Callithrix jacchus: one gene and its partners. Each later gene encodes a partner of the first gene's protein in a complex. Links are inferred from orthologs where the notes say so. Each region holds a gene or a part of one and is shown on either strand. Other genes may lie near its edges.

What was found. Proteins that work in one complex are often made in the same cells at the same time.
Region 2: the proteins of CENPA (region 1) and NTMT1 are in contact, whole or in part, in a crystal structure (PDB 5CVD), measured with the Homo sapiens proteins. The link is inferred for Callithrix jacchus from reciprocal best matches to the Homo sapiens genes CENPA and NTMT1. Residues at the interface, in NP_001800.1 of Homo sapiens: Gly2, Pro3, Arg4, Arg5, Arg6, Ser7; in NP_001273725.1 of Homo sapiens: Tyr19, Trp20, Met30, Leu31, Gly32, Tyr34, Ile37, Trp136, Asn168, Ile175, Asp177, Asp180, Asp212, Glu213, Ile214, Tyr215.
Region 3: the proteins of CENPA (region 1) and HJURP are in contact, whole or in part, in a crystal structure (PDB 3R45), measured with the Homo sapiens proteins. The link is inferred for Callithrix jacchus from reciprocal best matches to the Homo sapiens genes CENPA and HJURP. Residues at the interface, in NP_001800.1 of Homo sapiens: Lys64, Leu65, Ser68, Arg69, Arg72, Asp83, Phe84, Asn85, Trp86, Gln87, Ala88, Gln89, Leu91, Leu92, Ala93, Glu96, Ala97, Ala100, Phe101, His104, Glu107, Asp108, Leu111, Leu112, Leu114, His115, Ile132, Glu136; in NP_060880.3 of Homo sapiens: Glu14, Asp15, Leu18, Lys21, Leu22, Ser25, Arg26, Arg28, Phe29, Arg32, Met33, Leu36, Lys39, Tyr40, Pro43, Phe44, Thr47, Pro48, Val49, Val50, Gln51, Met52, Ala53, Thr54, Leu55, Ile65, Trp66, Gly67.

The regions. Positions count from the first base shown.
Region 1 is NC_133515.1:88,211,612-88,217,080, forward strand, and holds the start of CENPA (histone H3-like centromeric protein A), read right to left. Parts: upstream 3,324-5,469; 5' UTR 3,153-3,323; coding exon 3,059-3,152; intron 1-3,058. UniProt on the Homo sapiens protein: Histone H3-like nucleosomal protein that is specifically found in centromeric nucleosomes. Replaces conventional H3 in the nucleosome core of centromeric chromatin that serves as an assembly site for the inner kinetochore.
Region 2 is NC_133502.1:178,211,656-178,217,124, reverse strand, and holds the start of NTMT1 (N-terminal Xaa-Pro-Lys N-methyltransferase 1), read right to left. Parts: upstream 2,909-5,469; 5' UTR 427-2,908; intron 1-426. UniProt on the Homo sapiens protein: Distributive alpha-N-methyltransferase that methylates the N-terminus of target proteins containing the N-terminal motif [Ala/Gly/Pro/Ser]-Pro-Lys when the initiator Met is cleaved.
Region 3 is NC_133507.1:155,108,337-155,113,717, forward strand, and holds the start of HJURP (Holliday junction recognition protein), read right to left. Parts: upstream 3,331-5,381; 5' UTR 3,253-3,330; coding exon 3,172-3,252; intron 2,739-3,171; coding exon 2,672-2,738; intron 1,506-2,671; coding exon 1,450-1,505; intron 1-1,449. UniProt on the Homo sapiens protein: Centromeric protein that plays a central role in the incorporation and maintenance of histone H3-like variant CENPA at centromeres.

The sequences.
Region 1 (5,469 bases):
GGGGTCTCCCAGGCTCATGGTTTGAACGACTGGGTGGGTGATTGTGCCATTTATTGAAATGGGGAAATTGAGGATGAAGGGGCTGGAGGAGAGTAACCAGAAGTTCAGTTTGGGGTGTGCTAAGTTTAACATAACCAAGAGCATTCAGGTAGAAAGGCAGTTAGATATAGGTATCTGGGGTCAGAGGAGAGATCCAGGTATTTGTAAACTTGAGAGCTGTCAAGTAGGAGTGGTATTTAGAGCCACAAAGGAGATGAGATCATCTAGAGAGGGGGTAGAAAGGAAAAGGATGTCAAGGAAGTCCAATGTCAAGGAGCTGGAGGGAGGCAGCATAGGCAGTGAAGAAGGATAAGCAGAACTGCCAGAGTCCACAGTGGCATGGAAGCTTAGGGAATAGCACGCTTCAAGGAGAAAGAGGCCCACTGTGTCAGATGCTTCCGGGACACAGTAAGAACACAGACCTGCCTACTGGATTTGGCAATACAAAAGGTGCTGATGACCCTGACAGGTGTAGTTCAAGGGGTAGTGGTTGTGGGGAGTCAGATTGGAGTAGGTTGTAGGGTCACTAGGATGGAAGGAATCAGACACAACATATGTAGACCTAACTAAGTCTGGCTATTTTAAAACGATGGCTATGAAGGGGGAGTAGAGAGAAATGGGAGGTATAGGGAGGTGAGAATGTGGGGTCAAGGAAACACTCCTGTACTTTCTCTTAACATCATAAATACTAGAGCACATTTGCCAATGCTAATGTGAAGTGTCTGGATTTATCTAAGCACAGGTAGAAAGGACAACAGAAAGCTCCTTGTAGGTGAAAGAAGGATATGACCAAGAGCCCATGTAGAAGGAGGGGTGGCTTTGATAGGAAGGGGAACTTAGTCAAGGCCATCATTAGCTAAGAGTGAGTGGGGGGAATGGAGCTGTAGGAAGTCATGGAGGGAGGAAAAGGTATGAAATAGTCATGAGGGCCAGGCGTGGTGGCTCACACCTATAATCCCAGCACTTTGGGAGGCTGAGGCAGGCAGATCATGAGGTCAAGAGATCAAGACCATCCTGGTCAATATGGTGAAACCCCGCTCTACTAAAAATAAAATATTAGCTGGGCATGGTGGCACACACCTGTAGTCCCAGCTACTTGGGAGGCTAAGGCAGGAGAATCACTTGAACCCAGGAGGCGGAGGTTGTAGTGAGCCGAGATCATGCCACTGACTCCAGCCTGGTGATACAGCAAGACTCCGTCTCAAAAAAAAGAAAAGAAAAGAAAAGAAAATAAAAGAAATAGTCATGGGGAGAATGAAAAAGCAAGAATTCCAGACAAAGGCCAGGCAAGATGGCTCATTCTTGTAATCCCATCATTCTGGAAGGCCAAGGCGGGAGAACCACTTTAGGCCAGGAGTTCAAGACCATGCTGGGCAATATTTTTGTAGAGTCAAAACATTTTGAAGCCGGAGGATCACATGAGCCCAAGAGGTCAAGGCTGCAATTAGCCAAGATAGCACCACTGCACTCCAGCCCGGATGACAAAGTGAGACTCTGTCTCTAAAATTAGAGAATACCAGACAAAGCAGGTAGGACTACCAAGAAGTGTTGAGAGCCCATTTGAGAGAAACCTTCCATTTAACCAGGAATAGAAGGATGTTTCTACCTTGGAAAGGAACAGCAAACATCACACTTAATATTCCTGTTAAAATTACAAATGAGACAAAGATGGCCAAAACACTGCTCTTGGCGAATCTCAGGGCCTTACTAATACCATACAGTAAGAAATAAAATGTGTAGAAACGAAAACGGAAGACTCAAAAGTTATCTGCAGGTGACATATAGTCGACTTAAAAATTCCAACTGAAGCAACTAAAAGACTATTAGGATGCATGAGAATTCGGCAAGTCGGCTGGATGCAAAGGTTAAATACTCATGTTTTGGAAAAGAAAAAACATCCCATTCACGACAGCAACATCTAGAAAAACCTACTCTAGCCTAGGCAATATGGCAAAACCCCATCTCTACTAAAACTACAAAAAATTAGCCAGGCGTGGTGGTACATGCCAGTAGTCCCAGCTACTCAGGAGGCTGAGGTGGGAGAATCACTGAGCCTGGGAAATTGAGGCTGTAGTGAGCCCTGATGGCATCACAGCACTCCAGCCTGGGCGATGGGTCTCAAAAAAACACAAAAAACACAAAAAGCCTATAGGCGCAGTGGCTCATGCCTGTAATCCCAGCACTTTGGAAGGCCCAGGCAGGAGGATCACTTATTTGACACCAGTCCGGACAACACAGGGAGACCCAGTCTCTAAAAAAAACAAACAAATTTACAATACACTTTCCCCATCTTGTTCATGGCTATGTAGCAAGAGTTTAGAGATAAGTAAAGCAGCTATTGCCACGCGTACCATACAGGCATCTGCGTCCTCCTGCCCCTGTTTCCCATCCACCAGCCCACCATACAGACAGTGAAGACACAGACTTCGGCCCCTCTTTGCCGGACATAAGCTCTGGAAGGTAACAGAGTGAGCATCGCAGAGGGCCTCGGTTCAAGGTCTAAACAGTCTCTCCCGGAAGGGAAAAAAACCTGAAAGACGCCTCCTAAGAGGACTGCAGTTTGAAATCGTCACTGAAAGCAGTCAATACTTTTGCAATTTTAAAAAAGCACAGACACAGAGGATTGGAAATCCCGTGTCCGCCAGAACAAGTTATGTGACTCTGCTCAAGCTCCCTGGCCTGTCTGTGCCTCGGCTTTTTCATTAGCTATAAAACGCGTACGACCTGAAGCTGAGATAACGCACGAACAGTAGGGACGCAATGCCTGGTTGGCGGTGGGCGCTGGGTAACCGCTAGTCCTAACAAGCAGGCGGCGTTAGGAGCTGGTCCCTTCCCGCTTCGAACCGCCTGCTCCAGTCCCTCGCAGGGCTGACACCGCTCGTGCCCGGGGCGGATGCCGGACAGCGGAACCGTGTTGTCCCCCAGCAGGGGAAGGTCACGCGACCGGGACTCGGGAGATCCGGGCTCCGCCTGCGAGCCTCGGTTTTCTCCTCTACGAGACAGGGCCGCAGCCGGTTACCTAAGGAGGGGCCCCGCCGGGAGGGGCTGGGGGTCGGGCTCGCGCTGCGCCTCCTCGGGGCCTCGGGCTTGCGGCTCCGGCGGCGCGGGCCCATGGCGCGCCGCGGAGAGTGCTGGCGCCCGGCCCCACGGCTCCTGCTTGGGCTGCCGGGTCCAGGGACAAAAGGCTGGCGTCTGGGTAGGCTCGGAGAGCCCTGGACCGCGAGCCTTAGAGGAGCCGGTGCTTAACCACGTTCCGCGCCGCTCGCGTTCAAATCGCTCGCTCCGCCCACTTCACCGCCCGCGTTTTTTAAAACCCGAATCCAGCGACTCTCAGTGGCTGACTCTGGAACGCCCCTTACGTAGAGCGACTGCGGATAGGACCAATGAGAGTACTGGCCGAGACACAAACGGCGGCGGTGATAGCAGGCCAGCGGGGACTAATGGTGAAATCAGCCAATAGGCACTTAAAGAAGTGAGATGGGGCGGGGAATTCTCCTGCTCTCTGCTTGCTGATCTGGGTGCTGGCCTTTGCAGGACTGTACTGATGTCCTCAGGTGCCCTTCGGTCAAAACACCGATGCTCAGTTTGGAACGTGGATGGTGCGTTTGCAGAACGTGCTTCTCTAGACAAGTCACTTTCCTCAAACATTTTATGTTTTGCCCTAGCAACCCAGACCCACCCCATGTCGCGTCTGCGGCCCTCCGGGGAATTATCCACGTATATACTCAGAAGCCAGTTCAACTGCATGAACTTGGCTGATGCTTGGGGTCGCGGGGACGCCGGGATCGGAGGGGCTTTGAGGATGAGATCCGTGCAGGGCAGGCCTCGGCACTATAGCAACGCAATCGTCCCAGAAAAACCCTTTCTCCTCTTTGTTGGGGATAATAAAAATTCAAGTCATGTTCCTGTATGTGGAATAAGGGGAATTTAAATTTTCTAAATTTTCTTTCTTGAATTTTCTAAATGTTCTACAGTGAACGTGTACTGTCTGTAATCAGGAAAAACGTTAGTTATAAAATTAGTGATTTCATGGAAACCTGGTGCATTGCTGGTGGGAGTGTAAAATGCTGCGGCTGCTGTGAAAAACAGTATTAGTGGTTCCTCAAAAAATCAAAAATAGAATTACGAGATGATCCAGTAATTCCACTTCTGGCTAAATATCCAAAAGAATTTAAATACAGCCAGGGACTTGAACAGATATTCCCACACCCATGTTGATAGCAGCATTCTTCACAACAGCCCAAAGGCAGAAACAGCCTTAAAAAGGAAGGGAATTCAGGAGGCTGAGGCAGGAGAATTGCCTGAACCCAGGAGGCGGAGGTTGCGGTGAGCCGAGATTGCGCCATTGCACTCCAGCCTGGGTAACAAGAGCGAAACTCCGTCTCAAAAAAAAAAAAAAAAAAAAAAAAGGAAGGGAATTCCGACGGGTGCTGCAACATAGATGAACCTTGAGGACATTATGCTAAGTTTAAGGCAGTCACCAAAGGACAAATGCTGGGCCCGGGTGCGATGGCTCACACCTGTAATCCCAACACTTTGGGAGGCCAAGGCGGATCACCCGAGGTCAGGAGTTCAAGACCAGCTTGGTCAACATGGTGAAACCCTGTCTCTATGAAATATATAAAAATTAACCCAGCTTGGTGGCAGGCGCCTGTAATCTCAGCTGCTCGGGAGGCTGAGGCAGGAGAATCGCTTGAACCCAGGAGGGGGAGGTTGTAGTGAGCTGAGATCATGCCATTGCCCTCCAGCCTGGGTGCCATCTCAAAAAAAAAAAAGAAAAAAAATCCCAAGTAGGGGATGTGTGCCTCTTGCCCCAGCTACTCAGGAGGCTGAGGTGGGAGGATGCTTGAGCCCAGGAAGTTGAGGCTGAACTGAGCCATGATTGTGCTGCTGCACTCCAGTCTGGGCAACACAGTGAGACCCTGTCTTAAAAAAAAAAAAAAAAAAAAAAAAAGGACAAATACTGTATGAGGTACTTGGAATAATCAAACTCATAGAGACAGAAAGTAAAATGGTGGTTGCCAGTGAATGGGGGTTTGGGGGAGGAATGGGGAGTTAGTATTTCATAGGTGCAGAGTTTTAGTTTGAGAAGATGAAAAATTCTGGACATGGATGGTGGTGATGGTTATACAGCACTGTGAATGCACTTAAAGCCTGAACTGTACACTTAAAACTGGCCAGTGGTAAATTCTATGTTGTGTGTCTGTGTGTGTGTATATATATAAATATAAATAAATAAATATATATATTTCCCCCACACAGGGTCTTGTACTGTTGCTTAGGCTTGAGTGTGGTGGTGCAATCACAGCTCACTGCAGCCTTGAACTGCTGGACTCACACAGTCCTCTCACTTTAGCCTCCTGAGTAGCTGGGACTAACAGGAATGCACCATCACACATGGCTAATTTTTTTTTTTAATGGGGCTTTCTG
Region 2 (5,469 bases), on another chromosome or scaffold:
GGCTCATGCCTATAATCTGAGCACTTTGGGAGGCTGAGGTGGGAAGACTGCTTGAGCCCAGGAGTCCAGCCTGGACAACAGAGCGAGACACTGTCTCAAAAAACAAAAATGCTTGGTGGCTGGGAAAATTAAAGACAAAGATTAAAAAATGTAATACTACTCGTCCCCACCATGCTAGCACAATTCCCATTTAGACTGGAGTGTGGTGACACAGCAACCCCATCTCCCTCCCCCCGCCGCCAGTCCTGGCAAACTGAAGGTTTTGTATTCAATCCTATCTCCCGCCTGGCCTGGGAGCTCCTAGAGAGCAGTGGCAACATTGAGATTTATCATCGTGCTGCTCCTGCTTCCCGCGAAACACAGATATTCGACAGAAAGTTCACTTCTGATCAGATGAACAGAATAAATCTGGGGCCAAACACTTACCAGGCTGTACTCTGCCTCCTCTCCCAGAATGCAAGCTTCCTGGTGGCTGAGACATTACCTTGTACACCATTAGCCCAGGGCCGGATACCAGGTGGGCATTTGCTCATTGGCTGCTGAATAATGAAAGAATGGGCTTTGTGCAGCTAAAGTCACTTTTCACTTCTAAGAAAATCCTACAGACAAAAGTCCAACCATTGGTTATACTGAAGGCTGTTACTGACAATGTAATTTTGTGCTTTACCAAAAGCCTTGTAACATGATTCCTTTAAATGTCAAGGTCCCCTGAATAATCAAATTTACAAGAATGCCACTGACACGAAAATTCTAGGAACAAGCCAGGGGAGGCACATCTAGGCCGGGAAATCGCTTGCCTGGCTTTGACATCTGCCCTAACAGCCGATTCATGAATAAATGTAATTCCTGAGGTCCTGGCTGCGTTCTGCCTCCTGGTGTCCAGATTGGAGTGGGGCAGGAGGAGTTCCCTAAGAGTCAGAGAGAACAGAGAAGGTCGGTGGGCTCACCGAAGGAGGTCCTGCTACACTCCAGCACAGTGAGAGGCCACGTGGCTGTGCGGCCTGGGAGGGGGCCAGGGGCACAGCCTGGCTTGGTGTGCACTCTAGGCTGGCTAAGAGAGGAAGAGAAACCCCTCACACCTGGTAGATGCCTGCTCAGCCAGTAAACGTGATCCTACATCCTTCACTGTCACCTGGCTGCTGCCGCCTCCTCCCTGCCAAGGTGTTCAGACCCAGGCAGCTGTCCAGCTACTGCATCTCTGCTCCCAGGACCCATGGAAGAAAATGGTGCTGAAACTGTCACCCGGATCATCTCATCTCATCGTCCTCATGTAAATCTCCAAGGAAAAGCCTGCCTGAAAGTTACCTACACCCTCCCGCAGCCTAGCAGACAGAGCCCATCCTCCCTGCATCTCTGTGGACAGCAGCCGGCCACAACGGCAGAGTGCTCTGAGAAAAAAGAAAGGGAGAAAGGGAGGGAAGAAGACAAAATAGGGGATATGTTTAAAAACCAGCAAAGCCTCTGATGGAGTCAGATGAACCAGATCTAAATCTCAGCTCTGCTCACTGGCTGTGTAAGCTCAGATAAGACGTTAAACCTCACCATTCCTCAGGTTAGCTGTAAGATGGGACTTCACAGAAAGGCTGTGATTAAAAGCACATATGAAAAGCTGAAACTGCTTTGCACAGTGCCAGGCACATATTCTCTCTTGAGCTTAGAAATCTCTGTCAAATGAGATTCTTGTCAACTCTGCCCACTGTGGGGAACCAATGTGAAAACTGCTTTAGAATGCCATAGAAACGGTACTGCTGGACACCCTAGGGGATTATTACTGGTATGCTGGGTGGCCAATTCAGCATACTCAAACAGCCCTGCAAATCAGCAGGAGGGGGAGTGAGCTTCCTCTGCCAGAAAGGACAGAACCCCCACAAATGATTTTTCAGGTGCTATCCTTGTGATCCTAGGGCTTCCAGCCTCCACCAAAACACTCCATGCATACTTCCAATCCCCCACAGTCCCCATGTTACAGAGAGAAAAACCAGCACACTAAAGGAAGTGATGTGTCTTTAAACATACAAACAGGAAGCCGAGAACAGAATTAAGGAGGGAATCCAGGCTCCTTATCCCAGACCTGATTCCTCCCAGAGGCTCATCCCATCTCACTGGCAATCATTCTACACACCACAACCACCGGTTCCACTGTTCCTCCCCGCTGTCAAGGCCTCTGACACGAGCTGTGGCAACACTTATAGTACAGAGGAAAAAGCAAAGTCTGGAGGGAGAGATCACACAGTTGGTGGGCAGCAAAGCCTGGGCTTTTCGATATGGCAGCCCCTCTGCAGACGGGCTGACCTTGGTCGCAAGGGCTCTTGGCGACAGCTGTCATTTGAGCTGCACCTGTGTCAGGCTGGCGCCGGGGCAGGACCCCAAGGTTAAATACGACAGCAGCTTCTATGCAACGGGCACTTAACTGTGCCAGGCTCTGAACTGGACATTTTACCGATTCCTCCCACCCATCCTCCAAATGGGCGCTCTCCAAATCCCTGTTTCTCGGAGGAGAAACGGGCTCAGAGAAAGGGATTTGCTGCGGTCTGGGGATCGGGGTGGGGGAGTGCCCTGCCAGGGCTTTGGGTGCCTCGACTTTCCTCCTGTACCGACTCATGTACCGCTCCGTAGTCTCTGCCCAGGTCCGGCCCGTGGACCTCTTGGGGACGCGCACGTGGGGCCCGGGCCGGCCCGCGCGCTCGCGCCGGGTCACGTGACGAGCCGGGGTCCTCGGGGCGCCGAAGCGGTTGGGATCGCGGCCTCCCAGCTCCCGGCGGCTGCTTCCCCTTCGCATCGCCTTGCGCTACTCACTACGGGCAGGGGCTCCCGGGACCGAGAGAAGAGGATGGGGAAGAGGAACGGAGGGCCGCTGCAGCGAAGACCCACAAGCCAACCGCAGCTCCGGCAGACCACGACCAGAAGTGACAGCTCGCGGCGCGCGCTGCCTTTGTCCGCTTACGTCACTTCTGGTCTCCCGGGGGCGGGACCACGACTGTCCCCACCCCCGTTCGGCTCGCCACGCCCCGTGGACTCCGATTTTTTTTTTTTTTTTTTTTGTGAGACGGAGTCTTGCTCTGTCACCCAGGCTGGAGTGCAGTGGCGCGATCTCGGGTCACTGCAACCTCCACCTCCCGGGTTCAAGCAATTCTGCCTCAGCTTCCCAAGTAGCTGGGACTACAGGCACTGGCCACCGCGCCCCGCTAAGTTTTGTATTTTTTTAGTAAAGACGGGGTTTCACCATGTTGGCCAGGCTGGTTTCGAACTCCTGACTTTGTGATCCGCCCACCTCGGCCTCCCAAAGTGCTGGGATTACAGGCGTGAGCCACCGCGCCCAGCCAACTTCTTTTTAAAAATAGTTTAACTTTTTTTTTTTTAGGCTGGAGTGCAGTGGTGTGATCTTGGCTCACTGCAGCCTCCACCTCCCAGGTTCCAACGATTCTCTTGCCTCAGTCTCCCAAGTAGCTGGGATTACAGGCATGCGCTACCACACACAGGTAATTTTTGTATTTTTAGTAGAGGTAGAGATGGGGTTTCACCATGTTGGGCAAGCTGGTCTTGAACTCCTAACTTCAAGTGATCCATCCGCCTCTACCTTCCAAAGTGCTGGGATTACAGGCATGAGCCACCGTGCCCAGCCTAACTTGACTTCTTCAAAAAAGAAGGAAAAAAATTGGCGATGGGGGGTCTCACCCTGTTGCCCAGGTTGATCTTGAACTCCTGACCTCAAGCGAGGCTTCCACCTTGGCCTCCCAGAGTGCTGGGATTACAGGTGTGAGCTACTGTGCCCAACACAGGTTACAGCTCAAAACTTGACTAACTTAACTTTGGAGAATCTGGAAGGACCTCCGGGACTGAAGAGAGCCACAGCATCGCCCTCTCCCCGACCTCAGCACGAACGAAATTCATTTGGAGGCTGCCGGCTGGACTTCTAAAAAGAGTGTTGTGCGTGTTTTGAGTAAAAGGAGAAAGAAAAGCCATTGGTCCTCAAATCCACCCATCTCCATTAGCATCTCAAAGTAATACCAACCCCCAAAAATAAATAAAATAAAAAGAAATACTCTTGGCAGTGCCATGGGATTCCCACCAGAAATAAGCAGAGCAAGCCCATGAACTTTCCATTCCAAAAGGGTGGCCCATCCCTAGGCTCCTCCCATACACAGAAATTCTGGAGCTATCTCTGAGGCAGCAGTGATGGAATCAGGAGCTTGCAGGTACGTAGACCCTGTTAACGTCTCAGAGCTTCAGTCTCCTGCCAGAAGAAGAAATTGAGCAATGTAATCATTACTCCACTTCTGATATTCTGAGGGTTAAACTTGTGGGGCATTGCTTGTCGGGCCTTCAGCTCAGCACCTGCAGTGGGTTCTCAAGAAATGGAGCTGTTATAAGGACAATATTCATCTTAAGTTTATATGACATCCTGGTGTTGGCAGCGTGCGGTGGCTCACGCCTGTAATCCCAGCACTTTGGGAGGCCGAGGTGGGCGGATCATGAGGTCAGGAGTTCCAGACCAACCTGGCCAATATGGTAAAACCCCATCTCTACTAAAAATACAAAAATTAGCTGGGCGTGGTGGCGGGCGCCTGTAGACCCAGCTACTCAGGAGGCTGAGGCAGAAGAACTGTTTGAACCGGGGAGGTGAAGGTTGCAGTGAGCCAAGATCGCACCACTGCACTCCAGCCTGGGCAACAAGAGCAAAACTCCATCTCAAATAATGATAATAATAATATCCTGGTGTTGGCTGGGTGCAGTGGCTCACGCCTGTAATCGTAGCACTTTGGGAGGCTGAGGTGGGCAGATCACCTGAGGTCAGAAGTTTGAGACCAGCCTGGCCAACGTGGCAAAAACGCATCTCTACTAAAAGTACAAAATTAGCCAGGCATGGTGGTGCAGGCCTGTAGTCCCAGCTACTTAGGAGGCTGAGGGAGGAGAATCACCTGAACCTGGGAGGTGGAGGTTGCAGTGAGCTGAGATCTCACCACTGCTCTCCAGCCTGGGCTACGAGAGTGAAACTCCGTCTCAATCAGTCAATCAGTCAATAAAATCCTGGTGTTAGATTTGCAATGCCTTCCTCTGGGCGTTGCACACAGAAGGTGCTTAAGGTGCGTTTGCTCTAAATGTAGTGAAAGCTACGGGAGGAAGGGGATGCCAGAAAGTCCCCTCTGCATCGAGTCCCCAGAATCTGTGTATGTGCATATTACTTGGCATCCGCTCTAGATTATTCTAGGGTCACAACTGCTACCCCTGGTCTGAGCCCCTCTCTCAGCTTCATTTTCTATGTCTATAAGCAAAGGGGATTGATCCTGGACAAGTTCAGTGGCTGGAGTGTCTGGCATCCTCTGTCAGCGGGCAGCTCTGATCCAAGCTCTGCATGCCTAAAAATCCAGTCCTATCTTATTTCCTGTCAACAGGAGAGCAAGCTCCTTCCCCACACCCATGCTCCAAGGCCTTCCCAGGGCCGGCCAGCTCCCTGACCTCAAAGCCTCT
Region 3 (5,381 bases), on another chromosome or scaffold:
AGACTACACCCAGTTTCCGCCTAATCCCAAGAAAGGGTCTGAAGATTCTGAAGATCCAGGTAGGGGTCCTCCTACATTTTAAGCAAAAACCTAAATAAATCTTCAAATGATGAGTGGACATCTCTATTATGTATAATTAAAACAGCATATATCCTTTAATCCTACTTCTCAGCATCTACTGAAAATGGTGCATATCAGTACTGGGAGAAGATAAGGACCAGGATTTTCTCTGAGAACCATTTCTAACAGGGGCTTTATAAGTAAAGTTTTATTGGAACACAGCCATGTATACTCATTCACATATTTTTTCGGTCACTATCCCCCTACAACACAGAACTGAGTAGTCATAACAGAGACCATATAGCCAGCAAAGCCTAAAATATGTACCATCTGGCCCTTTGTGGAAAAAGTGTGCCAACTCTTATTTATAATAAAGGAAGCCACAAATAGTGAATTGCCTATCAATAGATCAGTTAAAAAAGCATAGTTTAAAAAATAATTATATAATTTTACAATTATACAATAGTTGATGAAGAGTTCTCCATATATATTAACTGGAAAAGTGAGATAAAAAAATGCATTTATAAAAATGTTATAGGAAATCACATTGTACTAAAATAGCACGAGTGACCATCTTTGCATAGATAAATCAGCTCATTTATGGAGTTGGATGTACTTTTAACATTTCTATCACTAGAATAATTAATAAAGAAGATTTGACTTCCAATTTGTTGTTAATATTACGTCACCTTAACCTTGATGTTTTCATTCTTGGGTACAGGTTCCTTGACCTGTGACCACAGGGAGGAACCATGTGGCATCTGAGAGGCAGTGATTAATCGAATGCCAGACAACCTTGCAAAAGGGCTCCTGGGTGTCCCTGCAGGTGCCAACAGCACCTTCCCCTAAAATAATGGGTCTCAGAGCTGCAACACCTTCAGATCAACTAGGTGGGGAAACTCAGGTCTTTGGAAGGTAGAAAAACGCAGAGGGAAAGATGTGTGATCCTCCACACCGCACCTCCCTTGTCTCTCTTCCTCCGCTTTCAAAAGAGGAAGGGAGGCATTTTTTTTTCTCTAGAAGGAACTGGATTTGGTCTTTTCTGTAAGGTCTCAACAGAGTGAGCCCCTCGCTGGGATGGCACCGTGGCCAGCTGGGGCTGGCCCAGCCCCTGCACGCGTGTTATCAGAGCCCCTCAGCCTGTGACACAGGAAACACAGGGTGACAAAAAAGGCCAAACATTACACAGTGCCTCCTTGCACTGGACAAGCAACAGCAAAAACGCTTCTAAGTAAATCCTTAAAAACAGAAAGAGTGTAGTCAAGATGAGAAAAAGTGCTCCCTGGTGGCCTCTCCATAGCCTCCAAGGTTGGGTACACCCACACCTGTATCCACATCAAGCCCCCTCCACAGCAAGGTTATTTGGCAATAAAATTTCACGTTTGCTACCTGGATCTCTCCTTCATTTCTTTCCTTTATTAGTCTTCCACCCCAAATTCTCAATCCTGAAGAAAAGAAAGAAAAACGACCATTTAAATAATCCTGAATGCTGAATTTCTGCTCAGTCTGTATTCACCTGAAGCCACAGTGACAGGCGAATAAAAAGGTACAATATTAAAACCAAGCCATTTCTGATACCCTGCTGTTGTTCATCTTGGTAAAGTTTCAGGTTGTTAAGGCAAATTTGTCATTCATGGAAATCTCCCACCTACTAGGCAGTGGCTTATTAAATTATATCATTAGCCCAAAAAGTCAAATGTAAACAAGGAACATATATATGACAATGACTGTCCCTAAAATATATAGAGAGGGCAATCTACATACCATATATAGAGTTAGCACTTTTTGCAGGCAATCTCTATATCCGATATACAGAGTGAATGCTTTCTAAGGGCAATTTACACGTTACACAGAGAACTGCCACTGGAATATTTTAGTTTCTGCCTGTGTAAACTTTTCACCCCAGGTGTGCCTGGATTGGCTATAAAGGCAGAAAGGTAGGATTTCTTTTAATTCAAGGAGCAGATCTTGTGAACCTTTTGTGCCTGTTTACTACAACATAGAACTTGCTCTGAGGTTTGTTTTCATTAAGTTGTAATGAGCTAGTTATAAAGCTATATGGGAAGAATTGACCCCAGGCAGTGCAAAGCGTCACCGGCTAATTTACCAAAAAGAACCCATACGATTTCAGTCTGATTTAACGGACTGCCTTCTTCTCCCTGTTCAAGTACTTGGAGCTTCGTGGAAGACAGTTGCTACTCCAAGCTAAACAGGGCAAACAAGTCATGTGAGTGTCCTGTTCCCAGAGTTGCAGAGTAACTGTCACAACACCCACACCTAGGAGATGTTACTGTCGTCATCCTTCCCATTTCACAGATGAGGACACTGAGACCAGTCCAGCTAAGCAACTGGCCCAAGCTACCACGGTGGGGAGGTGGCCAGCGGGGATGCCAACCCGGCAAGGCAGAGGCATGTGAACCAGGAGGCAGGCACCTGTCTTTTCAGGAATTGCTTTAATAAGTAATTCAATTAATTCGCAGGTTTAAGGGCACCGATGTTTTGGTTCCTATTAAGTGAACAATGTCTACTTCATAATAGAGCAGGGAAAGGATTTCAACTACTCCATTCACACTCTTCACCCGAACACTCAGAAGGGGAGGATGATCCTTACCTTGGGGCGTCTCGTAGGTCAGCGTGGCCATTTGCACCACCGGGGCGTCCTCGAAGGGCTGGTCGTACTGCGAGGGAGAAAAGGGCTTCCTGTCAGGTCCCAGGGCCACGAGGAGCCCCAGACCCTGGCAGAGGCGGCGCCAGCCCGCGAGAGGCTGTTAGTCTGGTCTGGGGCGCCCCAAACACAGTCTCTACAGCGGAGCCCCCAACCCCGCCTCGCTCGTCCCTCTCAAGATCCCCCAGCCCCACCAAGCCCTTTTCTCTGCACCCGAGCCCCAGTCCCGCTTTCCCATTCCCGGCTCCGGAGGCCCTCTCCTCCCCCTCCGAAGCCTTCGGCAGTGCCTCCTTCTTCCCTCCCAGAGCCCCCAGCTCCGCCTCCCTCTTCTCTCCGCTTCCCCACTCCGAGCCCCCAAAGCCCCCTCCCCTTCCCGTTCTGCGTCCCCTCCTAGACTCAGTCCGCCCCGAGGGCCTCCCCTCCTGGCGGACCCTCGGGGGCCCCACCTTCTCTAACAGCCGCTGCATGCGCCTCTGGAAGCGGCGGCGACTGGCTCTGAGCTTCTGCAACAGCGGCTCGTCTTCCATGCCCTCGTCCTCCAAGGAGCACAGCGGACCGAGCAGCTGACCCGGGAGCCTACCCAACACCGACCTCAGCGCCGACCCGGACTCCGGGGCCTAGAGCGCCGCAACTCAAATAGGCGACTCCGCCCTTCCTGCCTTCCTCTTGGTTTTCTATTGGCTAACGCGGAGAAGCGGGGCGCTGATTGGGCCTTTCAAACAAATTTGCGTCGCTCCTCCCGGCCAATCCGCGCCCGAGCGTCCAGCCACGCCTCAAGGAGCCAGTCGGGCGGAAAGGAGGGGAGGGTCTCCCGCCGCGCGGCAGGTTGTGGTTTCCCGCACAGCTGTTGAGCTTATTAATCCTCGGTGCAACGCGAGATCCGGTGGGATTCATGTTCGGCCTGGAGATGTCTGCGTGACTTGCTGTGGCGGTCGCCGCCGGGCGGGGGCCATCTTCCTCACCCTCCCGCCTGGGATCCCGGCGGGGTTTCGAGGGCAGGGGCCTACTCCAAATTACCAACCCGGAAGGAGGTAGGATGGTGAATATTCATCTAGAAGAAAATAAGTCTCAACGAATGAGACATTTAAAGACGCTGACAAATGCGATACACATCACAAAATCCAGGAAAATACTTTTATTAACCCACCTTTCCCCCCTATGTATTTCTGATTGCATACTCTGCTTCTTCATTGATATTAATCTTGTAATATTTTCTCCAGAAAGAAGAGCAAGATAAATCAGTCTTTAGTATGGTTGATGGAATTTGTGATTGACACCTTAGGAAAGTTTTATTCAGCTTCATCACTTAACCACGTTTGTGTGCTTGGGCTGACTTGATTACTATAGTCTGTGATGGAAAATAATTTAGCAGCCGGGCGCGGTGGCTCAAGCCTGTAATCCCAGCGCTTTGGGAGGCCAAGGCGGGTGAATCACGAGGTCAAGAGATCGAGACCATCCTGGTCAACATGGTGAAACCCCGTCTCTACTAAAAATACAAAAAATTAGCTGGGCATGGTGGCGTGTGCCTGTAATCCCAGCTACTCAGGAGGCTGAGGCAGGAGAATTGCCAGAACCCAGGAGGCGGAGGTTGCGGTGAGCCGAGATCGCGCCATGGCACTTCCAGCCTGGGTAACAAGAGCGAACCTCGTCTCAAAAAAAAAAAAAAAAAAAAAGAAAAGAAAAGAAAATAATTTAGCATTGCAGAGCACCAGGAGGTCCGTTAGAGGGGGCTCTTCACCCCCTTTCAGCCTGCACGGCAATTCTATCACGAAGTCCCGCAGAAATTTAGGTGGGGGTCGGAGGAGAATGAGAACTTCGGGGCTCATGAAGTGTGTGTGTCTACAAAATGTGTTGCGTTGTGCTGGATACAGAGATGTGCTGGCCTGATTTCCCTCAAGATGCCACAGCTGCTGGGAAGGCAGTTGGCAGGGGCCGTCAGTTGTCAGCCTCTTCCGGGATGATCCAGTTGCAGAGAGCTCTCACCCAAGGTCCTGCTGCCCAGGGCGGCCCAGCGCCAGTGACTGATCCAGGTGGGAACAGGAATTTTGTGCCATTTCAGTCTGTTGGAAGAAAACCCTGGGCTTGGAAGATAATTCCGAGCTCTTGAGTCCTGGAAATTGGACAGGGTAACCTATCCAGTCCTGTTTCTTTCCATCTCTTCCTCCCTTATAAACATCCTCTTTGAGTTGGCCCCAGTTGCAGGATCTACACATTTAATTTGTAGTTTTTGCAGTTTTCACAAGGAGGTGTCTTCCTCCTCCTTCCTTGGGAAAGTTCAGAAACTTAACATGCTCTTCCTTTGACTCTGGGTTTCCGTACATAACTTACTTTCCAAACGTCTAACTGGGCACATTTAGAGACTTGAGACCTTGAATAAAATTTCCTTTTTTCTTCTTGAGTTTTGGACGATTTACTCTTCCATTGTTACTGGATAGAGTTGTCCAGCTCTTGGTGCGTTACCAAAGAATCGAACAAAACACAAAGTAAGAAAAGAATGAAGCGAGGAAAAACAAAGCAACGGAAGAGCGGAGTGAGGAAAGCACAAATTCATTGAGGACAATTCGCAGAGTGGGAGCGGCTGGAGCACGCAGCTCCAGCGGCTATTCAATTAGGGTTCTTATGAAGCCAAAAGAACTTGGCAACACCCCTAGGTGCC